Drosophila melanogaster: one gene and its partner. Changing the gene in region 2 together with the main gene of any one other region gives a genetic interaction. Each region holds a gene or a part of one and is shown on either strand. Other genes may lie near its edges.

What was found.
Region 1: of sim (region 2) and D, changing one enhances a phenotype caused by changing the other (phenotypic enhancement), as found in Drosophila melanogaster (one study listed by BioGRID).

Annotation. Positions count from the first base shown.
Region 1 is NT_037436.4:14,174,347-14,181,166, reverse strand, and holds D (dichaete), read left to right. Parts: upstream 1-2,546; 5' UTR 2,547-2,598; intron 2,599-2,674; 5' UTR 2,675-3,828; coding exon 3,829-4,977; 3' UTR 4,978-5,557; downstream 5,558-6,820. UniProt on the Drosophila melanogaster protein: Essential for segmentation and CNS development. May modulate the actions of other transcription factors, including gap and pair-rule proteins.
Region 2 is NT_033777.3:13,069,651-13,079,078, reverse strand, and holds sim (single-minded), read right to left. Parts: upstream 6,681-9,428; 5' UTR 6,581-6,680; coding exon 6,529-6,580; intron 6,418-6,528; coding exon 6,223-6,417; intron 5,000-6,222; coding exon 4,830-4,999; intron 4,509-4,829; coding exon 4,407-4,508; intron 4,267-4,406; coding exon of another isoform or gene 4,243-4,266; coding exon 4,075-4,242; intron 4,003-4,074; coding exon 3,803-4,002; intron 2,881-3,802; coding exon 2,774-2,880; intron 2,686-2,773; coding exon 1,613-2,685; 3' UTR 955-1,612; downstream 1-954.

The DNA of each region.
Region 1 (6,820 bases), on a different chromosome or scaffold from region 2:
CCCGGAAATAGTTTTCTATACAAACAGCTAGACTGTTTTCCTTCAGTTCCCCAGAAACGGGGCAAAACAAAGGATGCACAAAACGGATACAAAAGTTGCAGGAATTGTGCAACATCCATGACAGAAGTGGAACCGGTTTGTATCAGGTGAAGCCGAAACGGAAGTCGACAGCACATGTGGGCGTCCTTCCATTTCTATAGAGTTTTTCCTTAGAGTATCCTTGGAAGAATGGCTCGTTTTGTTTCCCTAATGGTCTGAGCTTGGGATGAGCCGAGAGGAGAAATTCCCGAGACATTTTGGCCATTTCTTGTCGCATAATCACGCCCGTATATGAAAAGCGGATATGATGGGATTTTATAGCCTTGTAAGAAAATGTTATCTAAAGTGCCATAATAATAACATTACTGTTCGTTCCCATTTCATAGATTTCTTTTCATTTTATGCAAGTTTTTCCACGAAAATGATTTCATTATCCCTAGCTGGACCTGCCATCCCCTAACTTTTCACATTCTATGAACATCAAACGATAAGTGCGCTATAATTTTTCATTTCTCCAAATCAAAGCGAAGCGAAGAAGGCACCAGAAATTCAAAGCAGAGAAAGGGAAATTCGTGAGCATGCCAAAAATGCTCTTAACTGGAATGACATGTGAAAAGCGCCAAAATCTGTGAGGCGATCAAATGGACACGTACGTCAGGAAGCAGGAAAAATCAAAAAAGAACTCTTGTGGGTGGAAAATGGAAATGCAAAATGAACAAAGGCCAATCCGAAAACGTGAGAAAATTCAGTCAAAACGATTCATTTTATAACTGCCGACGCCAGATGGTAGGCATAACTCCAAATGAGGGGGAAAAGAATATATAACTTGCAAAAATGATACGATATATATGCCATATCAATAATTGAACGATTCAATCAACTGAACAATAATGGGAATGTAACCTCATTTGCCTTTTATATTCGTTTTAATTTTTTCATTATCATTGAATCCATTCTGGACATTGTCAAGTCTTACATTTGCGCGATTGTTCCTGAATTTAATTAAAAAAGAATGAATGACAAAAATTATATTTGCGGAATACAACAAATAAAAATGAAACCAGCTCCCCAAATGACAATTGAATGAAAACAACAACAATCAACAATCGAAAACAACAACAATGCAGGAACGAACAATAAAACGCGAGTCTTTCTCTTTCACCGCGGAGAATCGGTGAATTTCGAATGGGTTAAGCGGTGAGGGTGATTTCTGGCGACAGGATAATGGTTAATATTGTATTCGAATAATAGTAATCACGGCACAACTTGACTCATCTCTCACCTGCCATTATGCGATCAAATTAAATTTACATTTATTTAATTTTCAACTGCACTCTGATACTGTATTTATACTGATAGATTTTTATCAGATAAATATCTGATAAATAAAATGTTTTTCAGTTTGCACGGCACCATAACAAAGAAAGAAAATCTATTATTAGCTTAAGTAATTATTAAATTAGACAGAAAACATATTTAGAGTTTATTTATCCAACTACGAGTATTAGAAGTTTATCATGAATTATTTTACAACTTCCACTAATTTGAACAATATTCTTAAGACAATTTTGATTGTCACTATTCCGCAAAAATGAAATTAAAAATGCATCAGCTAGCTTATTTATTTATTGAATTTGATAGCAAAACACATAAAGAGTATATGTGCTAATAATTTAAAACGTTTATCCTTATTTGTTTTACTCTTTACACTTATTTTAACTGGATTCTAAAAGAATATTTATTTATATAAAATAAGGAATTCATCATAAATTGTATCACAAATGTAACAATTATTTATGCCGCATGTGGGTGGGGAGCGATTTTAGGAAACAGGATCCTGCATTCATCCTACACTGTGTGCTATTATCACTCACTTAGTGTCCTCGTCTGCTAAGTGAAATGCTGAAAACTCAGAAAGAAAAATGTGACGCGGACAAAACTTTTTCCATTACACAACGTACAACAGTTTTTGCTTTCATTATTATTTGAGATTCGTTGTTGTTGCCGTTCTACGTTGTCCTTTCTTCCTTTTTTGGGGAAAGCAGACACAACGGAAACGTTGCGAACGCTGAAAGCTTTTTATGCTCTTACGCTATGGGCCAGGTATAAGAGCTTTGTAAATGCAATTGGAAATTGCACTAAGCTTTGGTGCATCGTTGTGTGGGTGCGTGCATGAGCAGGAGAAAGGCAAAGAGAAGGGTGGGATAAAAGCTCAAAGGGGAGAATGGTTTTACTTTTGGGGTTATGGAGTTTTAAAAAATATAATAGAATATTGCAACCTTATTCCTGAAAGAAACATTTTTATTAAAACAACGGCTCTTGGGGTCAAGATGTTGTTTAATGAAGCAATGTTAAACTCTTACAATCTTTGCATCACAAAAGCCATAAATTATGTCTTCGTTTCGAAAGAGAGGTAAATATGTGTGTTAACAAGAATTTGAAAACTTATTATTATTATTTGGGAAACTCTTTTAGTTACGAATGAAAAAAACATTAGTTTGCGGTAGATTTAATTGTCAATTATTCGATTGCCCTTGTCCTTTCAATCAACATTAAAAGGTTTGTTTTCTTTTGCTACTGCTTATTTGGTAAACCAAAAAGAAAAGCTGGCTAAAACATCTTTTCTATAATAAAGCACAGAGGACCGTTCTACATGCATCTGGGTGAAGATTTGCCTCACTTCCACTGGCTCCTTTGTGGGCTTCTTTCTATGGCCAAATAAGTAAATAATTGCAGTAATATCCTTTCTGGAGCGGCCAGGAAGAAGTGGCAAAAAGGGAACGGAAAAGAATGGAGAAGAATGGCGAGCGAAATGAAAGAATGCGAGAATGGAGAGCGGGGCAAGAGAATGGAAAGCGTGTTTCCATGTCCTTTTCACAAACTAAAAAGTCCTTTCACACACACACATAGTACTGACTACAGAGTACACATAGAGAACGGTATATAGCAGAACACAGACACCCACAATGGACAAAAATTCACACCAAAGACCCATTGTGATTGGCCCAACAAACACGCACACACATACGCGGGGAGAGAGTTGTGTTCTCTCCCTCTCTCGTTCTAACTGCATAGGAGATGCGGAAGTGCAACGCCGCCGTGCAAACAATAACGGAAATTGTGTGCCCACTGTGCGAAAATCAATGTGCTCCCGCGCTCGCCCTGGCTCTCTTTCTCTCTCTCGCTCCGTACTTTGAGCTCCCCCTGCCCCACAGGATTGGGGTCGCTAAATCGAATAACACGAAGCACAGCCGAACGAGAGCTGCCTGGCTTTTGGCTCTATTGAGCTCCTCTATTGAACACACCCCTCAATGGGCGAACAACTATAACCGATATAAAGGAGCCAATGGAACAAAGCCAGTGGAACAATGGGCCGCAAAACGAAAGAGAGAAGACGCTATGTGTGAGTGAGAGCGCGACGACGGCGCAGCTCTCTCCCAGGTAAGAAGCCCAGCCTCTATCCCGCTCGCACCCACGTGGCTTACGTAAAGGTAATGGTGCGAGGGTTGCTCGCACTTCGTGCTCAACTCTCTTCCGAGAGAAACGGGATTTGGCTGCAGTCGTGTAGGCCGCACTGGAACACTACTGAAATCAGTCACAAAAAAGCAGTCGATCCGAGCAGAAGCAAAGCAAGAGCAAAGCAGAAGCAAAAGCAAGACAGTAATTGACATAGAGACAAAGAAAAAATCTGAGAAATCACAGTTGAACCACAGACATATTGTGTTCTAGAAAGTGAAGTGTTGATCTTGAAAGAAGCAAAAGTTAAACAAAGTGTTCAAAATAGCTGGAATGGCCACCTTATCGACACACCCCAATTACGGTTTCCATTTGGGTCAGGCCCAAGGCTTGGAGGACTACGCACCGCAAAGTCAGCTCCAGCTGAGTCCCGGCATGGACATGGATATCAAGCGTGTGCTGCACTACTCCCAAAGCCTGGCAGCCATGGGCGGATCGCCCAATGGACCCGCCGGCCAGGGTGTGAACGGATCCTCGGGCATGGGTCACCACATGTCCAGTCACATGACCCCGCACCACATGCACCAGGCGGTCTCCGCCCAACAGACCTTGTCGCCCAACAGTTCCATCGGATCCGCCGGCAGTCTGGGTAGCCAGAGCAGCCTGGGCAGCAATGGCAGTGGTCTCAACTCCAGTTCGGGTCACCAGTCCGCCGGCATGCACAGTTTGGCCACATCGCCGGGACAAGAGGGTCACATCAAGCGTCCAATGAACGCGTTCATGGTCTGGTCCCGCCTGCAGCGTCGTCAGATCGCCAAGGATAACCCCAAGATGCACAACTCTGAGATCTCCAAGCGCCTGGGTGCCGAGTGGAAGTTGCTGGCCGAGTCGGAGAAACGACCATTCATCGATGAGGCCAAGCGCTTGAGGGCCCTGCACATGAAGGAGCACCCGGACTACAAGTACCGGCCACGCCGCAAGCCCAAGAACCCACTGACCGCTGGACCCCAGGGTGGACTGCAGATGCAGGCCGGCGGCATGGGTCAACAGAAGTTGGGAGCTGGACCGGGAGCTGGAGCCGGAGGCTACAATCCATTCCATCAACTACCGCCATACTTTGCACCCTCACACCATCTGGATCAGGGTTATCCAGTGCCGTACTTCGGTGGATTTGACCCACTGGCTCTATCGAAATTGCATCAATCCCAGGCAGCGGCGGCGGCGGCGGTCAACAATCAGGGTCAGCAGCAAGGACAAGCCCCGCCCCAATTGCCGCCCACCTCGCTGAGCAGCTTCTACTCGGGCATTTATTCCGGCATCTCGGCACCTTCGCTGTACGCCGCACACTCCGCCAATGCCGCCGGACTCTACCCATCCTCGTCCACCTCCTCGCCGGGATCTTCGCCCGGAACCATCACGCCAAATGGTATGGATGGTTCCATGGACAGTGCCCTGAGGCGACCGGTTCCGGTGCTCTATTAGAGTCGAGTTTTAGGTTAGAGTACAGAGTAGAGTACAATTGTTGACGCATTCCCAAAGTGATCCACTGGTTTTAAATCTTCAAAAGCTCTAAGTAAGCCAATCCTCCAAACCACTCCGCTTAATTCTAGTACAATCTTCGCGCACTTCAGATCTAGAGAGTAAGGAGGGAACACACAAAACATTCCTAGCCAATACACAAACTATAAATTATAATTTATTTAGCGCACTCACTATACCGCAAAGAAAATTAAAAAAGATAAACCTAATTGTAAATTAATTTTATTTAGTTTTAAGCATCGAGCGAGCGCCTCCTTCTTGTTGTTTTTTTTCGCATCAGCACCTACCTAAAATGTAGCTTATAGTTTTAATTGTCTAACCCTCTCAAATTGTAAATATCCCTGCAACTATTCGTTAAAGTCTCAGTGTAGCCCCAAATGCGAGGAAAGAACGTACATCAATGTATTATTGTATTATTAATTGTATTGTAAAAGTTATCATCTAAGCGAATAATGGTTCATGAAGGCCAACACAAAACAAAGACATTTAAAAGTGAATAAAAACAAAATGATTTGAGAAAACCAAATTTGAAAACCTGTTTATTCTATTTCAAATAATTTACAGCTTGGAAGATGTGAAACTGGCAATTGGTTTTGAAATGAATGATGATGATTCTCTACCAAATGTAATCACATTAAAGACATAGGTAGAGTTGTTGTGACTGGAATCAGACGAAGTTATCATATATATATATATACCGGGAAAAAGCTGAAAAACAAAAAAGATAATTTTAAGCCTTTAATAGAATGCATTTCCCATTTTCTTAGCCAGCATACCACATTTTACAGTTATGTTATAAATTTACTTTAAACATATGCCCAAGCTATATGTGACTTAAATTTTTCAGCTGATTATATTTTATACTCCATAATTGGATTATCATATTTAAATTCGAATTTGTGTCTGTATTTTTCATAACCTTTAAGATTATACAGGGTCGTGCTCTGAGCATGCATCAAAATTATCAACGAAATTAATAACGAATTTGAATATTCATAAGACCATTAACATAATATTCTCAACTGGATTGAGTGAGTCATTCGGATAAAGCTTAAAAACAATCATTTCATCATCACCTAATAATGGGTATGAATTTTTCTGTTTTGTGAGTAGTATTCGTTTAATATCAAAGTCCTATCCCGTTTCTGATCAAATTAACCTTGTCTCTGGGTGTCTTTACTATTATTTCGCTCATTTCTGTGTGAGTTTTTGTTGGTTAGTTTACACCCGCTGGGAAGAGATGAAAAAACTAAATTTGATTTGCCATTATACAACTATTTGCCGTTGTGTATTAATTTCTATTGATTAATGCGCTGTTTATTTTGCGCCTCCAAGACAGAATTCGATAGTTTGAACAAAAGGTCGTCTCTTCGCTCTTTGGATGGGGGTCACATTGTGTTTTTTTTTCGGGATCAACGGGGGGCCTGGGCCCTCTAAGACCTCACTATTCGGAGTGTAACTGAATACCCTGGCGAAAGAAATCAACGCGTGTTTTTCCGTTTTGATTTTTAGCTTCTTTTCGTAATAATAATAAGAATAATTGCGGTCATTAATAAATCCACTTGCATTGTCTTCCCCCGAACTCTGACTCTTCGATTGCCGTTTTCAAGTCTTTGGGAGTCTATTCAATGCCCTCTGCCCCGCTCCCCTTCGTTTTCCACGTTGTATGTCAAATGTGTTAAAATATCAAATATTGATTATTGTTGTTATTATGCGTATTGTTGATATTGGTCTTTTTTCCATGCCTTGTTTCTCCATTCTCCGTTTGCTCTGCAAACAAATATTT
Region 2 (9,428 bases):
TCTGTTGGCTCACACAAAATGGCAGGCAATAAATCAATGGTCTCTATACTGAACCAACCGTCCCACACAAATGGGCCAACTATTTCATCCCAGGCCAGCAACTTGGCCAGAAGGGTTTGGTTCGGCTCGGCTTTACATGTTTATGCTGCACCAGCAGCAGCATCCATGGCCAAAAGCAAGCATTCTGTATTAGGAATATGTGGCATTTGAAGCATCCAGGGTTTTCTAATTTGATTTCAGTAGGATTGAATGGTGGAAAAATATGCAGCATTATAGGTGAATGATTAATTAAAATTGAGGTCAAGACATACAGAAAAAGAAACTAGCAATGGAAATAAATTAGTAAAATCCATCAAGCAAAAAAATTCAATACTATTTTATTTTATAATAAATTTAGAAAAGCTTCTTTTTTAATTTGTAAAAAGCTAATTGGTTTTAGTTTTCTAATCTAATTTAAATAACCGTCGACACAGGGTGCCTATGGCAATTGAATCAAAATATATTTCAACACAGTGGTGAAATTCTGTAGAATATGTATTATACATTTTGTAAAGTACATCAAGTTTTGTTCAAAACCACTAGATGTCGCACCACTTTTATACGTATACGTTACAATACGTATACGTAGAATGTAAGCTGGTGGCAGATTAAGGAACTAAATATATGTGTAGTTTAGTATGTTACCTAAAAATATGCAACGAAATATTTTAAAATCGGCTATTGCGTCAAAGCTGCATTTTTCAATCCATACAAAATTTGATTAAAACGCTAAATTGTGAAATATATAAAAGCATATAAATAGATAATTTTAAAACAAAGATAATGGAAATAGATAAAGGTGCTAGTTTTTGAAAATAACATTTTATTTGTAAACCAAGATTACTAAATTAAATAATAACTCTAGAGGCTTCCAGCGGCGCTTATTTGAAAAAATCGAACTCTCGCTCTTTTTTTATTGTTCACCCACGTAATAATTTGTTTATTCAAATTAGAAAAATTCTCGATAATAATAGATTTTACATTTACAATTATTTACTTGACTTATGAAGATCATATTCGTTAACTGCATAGTGGAGCGGACCCTGCACTATTTACACATTATTGCATATACATATGTATATTCGTAGATCCGATGTGTATGCATGATTATGGGGGCCAAGTGTATGCGCTTTACTATATAGTTATAAGTATAAGTATGTGCAATTAATTTAAGTTAGTTTGTATGAACAGTTTACAGTTAGGCCTTACAACTATTTATTATTAGAATTTGTATTTGCTTTTGCATTTGTTAACAACGATCATTCCGCATTCTTAATTTCTTAGCATTTTGTATCAATTTCTTTGTAACTTTACACTGCACAATTAACGCGAACGCATTGCATTGGGTAATGCATGGTGGGGGTGTTAAATAAATAAAATAGAGGCATAGAGGAGGTCCTGAAATTCAGATGGTGTGTGGCTCAGCCACATATTACAATTTCGAACTGAGAACTCAGAGGTGTATATAACATTGCAACGGATGGTGGGGTGGGGGCAGTCGACGTTTTATAAACAACAGTACAGTAGCAGTCAAGGCTCATCGTCCAACATTTGGTTATTTACATTTTTAGGATCACCAGGTGGCGTATTGGTATTGCAGATGCTGCTGCTCCATCAGATGCTGCTGCTGCTGCTGATGCTGATGCTGTTGCGAACTGTTGTCGGAGAAGTAGCTCAGCTCGAAGTTGTGACTCAGATCGCTGTAGGTCGTCTGTGAGGGCGATGTTTCGTTCACAATCGAGGCATTTCCGGTGGACAGCTGCCTTTCGCTCTCCGAACTGCTCGAGCAGCTATTCGAATTGGCCGAGAATGGGCGTATCATCGAGGTGGCCACATCCACCGTCGCATCGTAGTCATAGTAATAGTGATTGTTGTTATTGTAGTACAGGTTGCCGGTGGTCGTGTCCGGATACTGCATCTCCGTGGAGTAAACGCCGGAGGACGAGGCCGACGCACTGGATCCACCGCCCGCACTTGAGGCGGTGCCACCGCCCACACTGCTGCTCGAGCTCACCACCAGGTCGTTCAAGGGCGGATAAAGCTGCGTGTAACTCAGGCTATCGTGATCCATGCTGCCGGACTGCTGCTGCTGTTGCACATGATGGTGGTGCCACACGCCGTTGTTATTGTTGCTACTACTACTACTATTATTCGTTGGGGGCACGGGCGTTACGGCCGGCTGCAGCGGCAGCTCTGGCTCGAAATACGGATCCAGCTTGGGACTTGCACTGAGGGCCAGACTAACTGGCGTACCCGGACCCACCGGCTGACCCGTTGCTCCGGCGCACTGCGGCTGCACCACCACCGACTGCTGGGGCACCACCACCACCTGGGCCTGCACCGCTTGAGCCACATGTGCCGCCTGTGCCGCCTGTGCCGCTTGGGCCGCTTGGGCCGCTTGAGCTGCCTGTGCCGCTTGAGCCGCCGGCGATATGGGCTCCCGCTTCACAACGCCCGTCTGAATCTCGTTCAGCACCAAGTCTTTCACCTCTCGTTCGCTCAGCACATAGTTCACGCTCACGATGAACACTTCTCGCGAGGATCGCGAATTGTGCACCAGTGTCGCGTACGACTGCACCCACACCCAGCCGCCGCCTTTGGTGAGGAAGCGGTAGTACTTGGTGGTCACTTGTCCTTTGTACAGCACTATTGATAGGGAGAGAAGAAACAAACTCGATGAGAATGATGTTTTATGGAAATTATTATGGCAGTGTATTGGGATGAGTGTACTTACGGATTTGATGAGAGCAGCGCATGGCCATGATGTCCGCGGCGTGGATATACTGATACAGGGTCTTCTCGATGAGGTCCTGCGGCTCGTATCCTGTTAGCTGCGATACGCTGTAAGCAAATAAACAGGCAAAAGGATGAGCATGAGAATGGGGATAAGTTTCGAGGTCGAGGGCAAAAGTTTCGCTGGCTTATTTAAACAGTGAATGAATGGTCATTGGTGTTGCCTTTGTCGCTGGCGTGTTTTATTCGGTTGGTTTACTTTTGCCGACTCCAATTCAATTATGCAGGAAAACAAAAAAAAAAGAAGCGGCGAAAAAGGGGCTGATTTCCCGCTCAGCACTTTGGGGTTGTTTGCTGCGAAAGTGCGAGGGCGCCAGAATAGGATGGCAATATGCTGTGTGGCATCATGAGGGTAATTGAGTGACAATAATGTCAGACAAAGTGGGCTGGTTTTTTGGCCCGGCAGGCACTTACACAGCGTCCCCTTTCCCCCTCAGCACTCACTCACACACTCACACACACGCACAGGGACAAAGGAAAATCAAGCTCAAGAGGGAAATGATTTGTTTTTCCTTTTGTCATGTCGCCACCGTCTTGCTTACATTTCCTTTTCCCTACTCGATTATTTTTTTTGTTTTCCGCCACTTTGAAAACATTATCTTTTTGGGGGCGTCTGCTGGTACTTTTTATCGTGGTGTAAAAAACGAATTCTGCGGCCCGTTTAAATATTTGCCTAGTGTCGAATATACGGCAAACAGGCAAAGGATACTTTCGAGAATTTTTTAAGTGCAGTGAGAAAAATTATGCTGTGAAAGCACCAGGCTACACGGATAAAAATTGGTCTTAGAATTACATTATGATATTTAAGGATATTAAACATTAAGGATATTTAAACATCCAATAAATCGATGTTGTAAGATTTATAGGAATTTCTCGAGTGGATTTCAATACAAAGTGATAGAAAATATGCAGACAACGAACTATTCATCTATTTGTGCCCTAATTAAATGGAAATTTGAATTACACTTACCGTGCATCGAAGAAGATGAGCTTCATGTCCAGCTTGGCCCGGAACATGAACATATTCTGGTGCAGCTTGATTTCCGTGATGGCGGATGAAGGCAGCGAGTGACCGACGGCCACCAGGCCGAGATTCTGGATGAGGCTGCCCTGTCCATCCCCGCGATCGGGATAGATGCGAGCCTTCAGATAGCCGGAGCAGTGTATCACCTAAAATCATCAAGTAATACAAGGATAAGCAATCAATCCATTTAAAGGAATGGTATGTATAAAATTCTTTACCTTAAATCCGGAGGTGGTGAGGCCCGCGTTCCTTTTGGCCAGGACGCACTTCATGCGCAGGAAGAAGGTCTTCTCGATCTCGATGGTGTGCGATCCGCGATCGTGGTCGTAGGCGGATGGATGCTGGACGCCATTGGGACTGCCGATGGGCGTGTGCGTCTGGGCGAGCTGTAGGGAGTTGAGAAAGGCGGCCTGTGGCGTGAGTACAAGTCAGAGTAGGATGGATGCATGGCAGTGAGAGAGAGAGAGAGAGATGGAGAGAGAAAGAAAGAGAGCGCAAACATTTTCAAATGTTTCAAAGGACTCTGTGGAAACACGGATGCTCTACTCACTGGATGCTGGTTGATGTGCGGATGCAGCGACAAAATGGCATTCATCTCGTCCTGATCGTAGTTGTGTATGTACTCGAATATCGAGTTGCCCGTCAGCTCAACCTGGTTAAAAAAAAGAGATAAATAAACCATTAAATATTAAATTTATATAAAATATATCCTATACTGATGTAAAGTTAATTTCTTTATGCTGATCATATAAGTGGAGCTATGTTAATTTGCTCCACCAGCACTGAGTGCCAATTAGTGGGCAAATGCAAATGAATCGTCTTTACTGAAGCCACAGCACTTGGGTGACCTGCACCATTCAAGCCCATTGACTTGCAAATGCAAGTGGTGGCCAGGATACAAAAAGGCAAATTCAGGTGGCCCGGCAAATTATGCGCATAAATCAGGACAAGAGATCCATTCACCGACACTCACCTGACTGAGGCCCAAATGCACGGAGGCCGTTTCCGAGATGTACATGATTTTGCCATCCGGAGCCACCACGAAGATGAATCCGTCCAGCGTCTGCAGCAGATGGGAGCCCAGCTCCTTGATGGTGGCGCCGCGTTGCATGGCAGGCGATGAGCCCCAGGCTTCGCCAAGACCTACAAAATAAGATTTAGATTTATGAAACATGTTTTATTGTCTTTAAAAATGAAATCTAAAAAGTTCTTGCTACTTAATACAATCAAATTGTATTCCGTTTTAAATGATTTTTATATAGTTTTATATTTAAGCTGTCCTTTCTATTGTCTCCGTTTGATTGGACTTGGATTTAGTATTATGTCAAGCTCCCGTTTCTATTGTCTTATCCGCCCCAATGTCCTGAATTAATTGTTTGTCATCCGCTCGAAGTATCTTAATTCGCAAAATTCCCACCAGCAGCAGTGGCAGTGGCAGCACACGCCCTACTTGCCACTGCTGACGTCTAAATATTATTCCCAATTAAAGTCATCGAGCGCCGTAGGTGGCCCATTCACAGCCCACCATTCCACCCACTGGCCCACCCCCCCCGACTTTCATCGACTTCGCACCATATATACAACATATATTGTGTTGTACATAATACCACTGGCACTTCCTTGGCCCGTCCGGATCTCGTTGTTTGTTGCCTATTATTAAAATAATTATTTCAATAAAGGCTGAAAAGAAAAGCACAAAACGGTGCGGCAACAATGGGAGCGTCAAACGCCCAACCAACCGACCGACCAACGAACCACCCACCCACTCACTTCTCGAGCAACCCTCTTTGTCAGCAGAAAATCTCAGTGGCGCACGCTCACATGGTCGGTGGGGAAAAGTTCGGGAAATGTGTGTGTGTGTGTGTGTGTGTGGGGGGGGGGGGGGGGGAGATGTTCGAGTTCGGTTTTCCAGTGCGGCTCTCGCTGCTCTTTGAGTGAAACAACCAAGCAGCCGCCATTGTGTTTTCGCCAACCCCAACCAGCCGCCCACTTCATCCTGCTGTTTATTGTCTGCCCATTTGTTGAGTGCTATTTCCCTGTTATTTCCCTGGCCGATTCTCGCCAACATATGCTTTAAACAAACATAGCCGCTTAAACTTGAAAACTGGCAGCGTAAAATGGAATGAAATGAAATCATTGCAAGTACATTGGAGTTAAAGTGAAAACAAAGGAGCATGTCCTGCTGCGAGGATATGACGAGCTTGGATTATAATGAGCGTGTCGGTCGCGTGGCTGTCAAAGATTCCGCATCATTTGCCGTGTAGCCACAAGGCGCATTTCACACGAGATGAAAAGCCAAGAGCGGCGACAAATTGAGCGCCAATCAAGTGAGTTTTTCCGCAGGACGATTTTCCGATTGAACTTACCATCGGGAAAGACTTGGCGCATTTTCAAATACGACGTGGTCAGCCGGATGACGGAGGCCTTGTCCAGTTGCGAAGTAATCGCCGCCGGCAGCGGCAGTAATTTGGCCAATTCACAGAATTCCGTGTTTTCCTTTTCACGTCGCGTGCGTGCCGCATTTTTGCTTTTCTCCTTCATGGCACACGTTTTGGCTATATCTGCAAAAATCGAAATAACCAAAAAGCATTTTTAGTAACAGAGGAGAAAGTTGGTAACAAACTAAAAAAAATGAACGTTGATATATTTCGTTGCCAAAAACCACAACCGACCATGCAATCTGCTCTCATAGCAATCCTTGCGCACTCGCCGATGGTTAGTCATTTTAAAGATATCCTTTTTTATAGATCCTGCTTTGAGACTGTTGCGAGCACCTTCTCAGCACTTGCTCATATCCCTGCAATCACCTGTTTGCAACTGAGCCGCTTTCCAGCGGCACAAGCACTTTTAACAGTTTCCCAACTGATCCCGAAAAGGATCTGTTACCTGATCCTGAGAAAACAACCTGCCATTGGCTGCACTGGATTTTTACCTGTTTACCCGGGGCAATTGACTTTTCGCAATGTTACTAATTTGCTCAGATCATTTTTGCCGAATGGCGAGACGAAAATAGCTGCCATCTCACTCCAAGTGACTCCTGCATTCAACAGGTTGACTTTTGCCGACCGCAGGAGTTTCACTTATATCTATATGCACACAGACACACACACAAATATTCTGGTGTCTGTGCGAGCACATAATACCCAAATGATGTCCCACGCACACTGCCAAACAAAACGAGAGTTTAGGAGGTGGCGAAATTTATATGCACCACACTCACACACATCCACAGCCAGGATGAGGATGACCCACAGCCGGAATCCTGCCATTGATAGTTTTCGAACGTGATTTTGGCGCAGTTTTGGCAAAATCTAAGCCATTGGAACTCCTGCTGCTTTATTTTCCATCGAGTCACTTTTTCTGTCACTCTCAAAGAAATTGGCCATTTACCTAAATGTACCGAATGGCTGGAATTCGCACGTAAATACAAGTTTATTGACTTAGGTCACGTATCTTAAATGTTTTTAGTTTTGCCGCTAATTTGCCCACAAAAATGTTAGATATGCAAGTTAATCCGACGTCTTTTATGGCCATATAATGCAATATATACCTCAAATTTTATACTTCAACTAAATGTATATTGGAATAACTAGAGCTTAGCTAATTTATGATAAAAAATTAAAAAATAAATCAAAGCCAAAACTCCAATAAAGTGTTTCCTTTGTATTGATAGTACTTTGCATCCATTTAGCAGCAAGAAATGAAACATTTGTCAAAAGTCAGAGATTGAGGGAATTGTCGACATCCGTTACGCATTCGCAGGAGCAACAGATTTGCCCAACGATCATAATCCTAAAGAGTATTCCGCGCTAATCCGCAACGCAAATGTGCCAACATGCACGTCTGAAGTGAGGTTGCTTCCCTTTCTCCGTTGGCGAAGTGGAAATTCCAGGGGAAATAGGGGAAAACTGAGGCGTTCCCATTTAGGCCGCGATTGCCATATTTGACTCGACTAGCGTACAATATGCGGACAGGAGTCAGCCAGAGGGTTGGATATCATATGCCGGCAAATCCATTTAATAGGATAGTTTACGAGCCGTAAGTGGGTCAAAATTATTCAGGATATAAGCCATTATTCCATTTGAACATTACAGCATTTCATATAGCCATAAATACGGGAATATGCCATTGATATATCAGCGTTTGTTTCAATAATCTCAATTCTGGATATAGGAAACAAAGATGTAATCAAAACATGCTAGATAGTATGAAATCATCGTAAAATGTGCACATCTTTAGGATTAATATTTTACAGAAAATTAAAAAAATGTTAAATAAATTGTCATTTCAAATTTTTTTTCAATTATATTTATAAACCCTAGGGCTAAAAAAGTTCCCCTTTCACGACAATGAAACTCAAACTTTAACGATCTTTTCCCGGAAAGCGTATAAAAATGCGACTCATGCCTCGAATGGCAACTCAATGAACCGGATCTCAAGCCGAATCCCAGCCCATCCAAGCAACTTGACCTTAATCTGGTTACAGGCAAACAGCAAACTGAAAACAAATGGCCAAAAGTTTAAAAATAAAGTCAACACAAATATTCACACTGAACTTGAACTAGAGAGTTTCACATAAGGAGGACAATGCTGTGGGAATGGGTTGGTGTGGCATGGAAACAGGTAGGATGAGCAAAGATTCCCACGCAGCGGAAAGTGGAGAGTCCATAAAGCAATTAACAGGACACTGGACGCTGGTCCGATGCTAATGTGGGTGTTGCGGGTGAGGCGCAACAGCGCCTATACCCTATATCCTGCATCCTACATCCGATCCTGCTGCTTCTCGCTTCCCATCAGGACGAGCCACAGGTATGGATATGCTAAAAACCCGATGCTCGCAGCTCATGTTCTCACGCTAGCGCATCGCCATCGGGGAATTTCCAATCGGCCAATTGATAACCAGTCGGGGAAAAACGGCCAAAAAAGCAGCACATGTCCTGGAAGTGTGAGAAACTTGCGAGGCGGCCAGGCTTACCTGCCACTCCTACCGGCACCTCACTGCGATTCCCACACATTGCCGAGCTGTCCTATCAGGTGGGAAGCTGTGGCCGTGGCCGTGGAAAGCGGAAAATCGCCATACGCTGTAAATGTGCGTAACATATGCCGGGGCCACAACGATAAGAGCTCTGCTCCTGTTCCTGCCAAAATGTTTCAGCACTCGAAGAATTGTGTGTTGAAAAAAATATATCTGGTTGAATCTAAAGAAAATAGCTAGGATAGCTGAACATTTCATTCGAATCCGTGCATGAAAATCATTTTATTAATTTTATTTTCATCGAAAGGTTCAGTCGTTTGAATAAACTTATTGAACTATACAGCAAGTATAACAGAAAAATATCTCATTGTTCAATTGTGTTTTGTAAAGGTATATGATTTTTCAAAAAATCTCAATTTATTATTCCATAATTTAAAATAAACCTTTGCATTTACCTAACCGTACTATCGCCGTACTATATACTTAAATTATTTTCCTCGCAGAACCCCTTTTCTTTTTTCTCTGTGCACTTTTGCACCCACCCACCCCCCACACTTGCGGTCCTTCGCTCTTTTCCCGTGTGTTTTTCCAACGCAC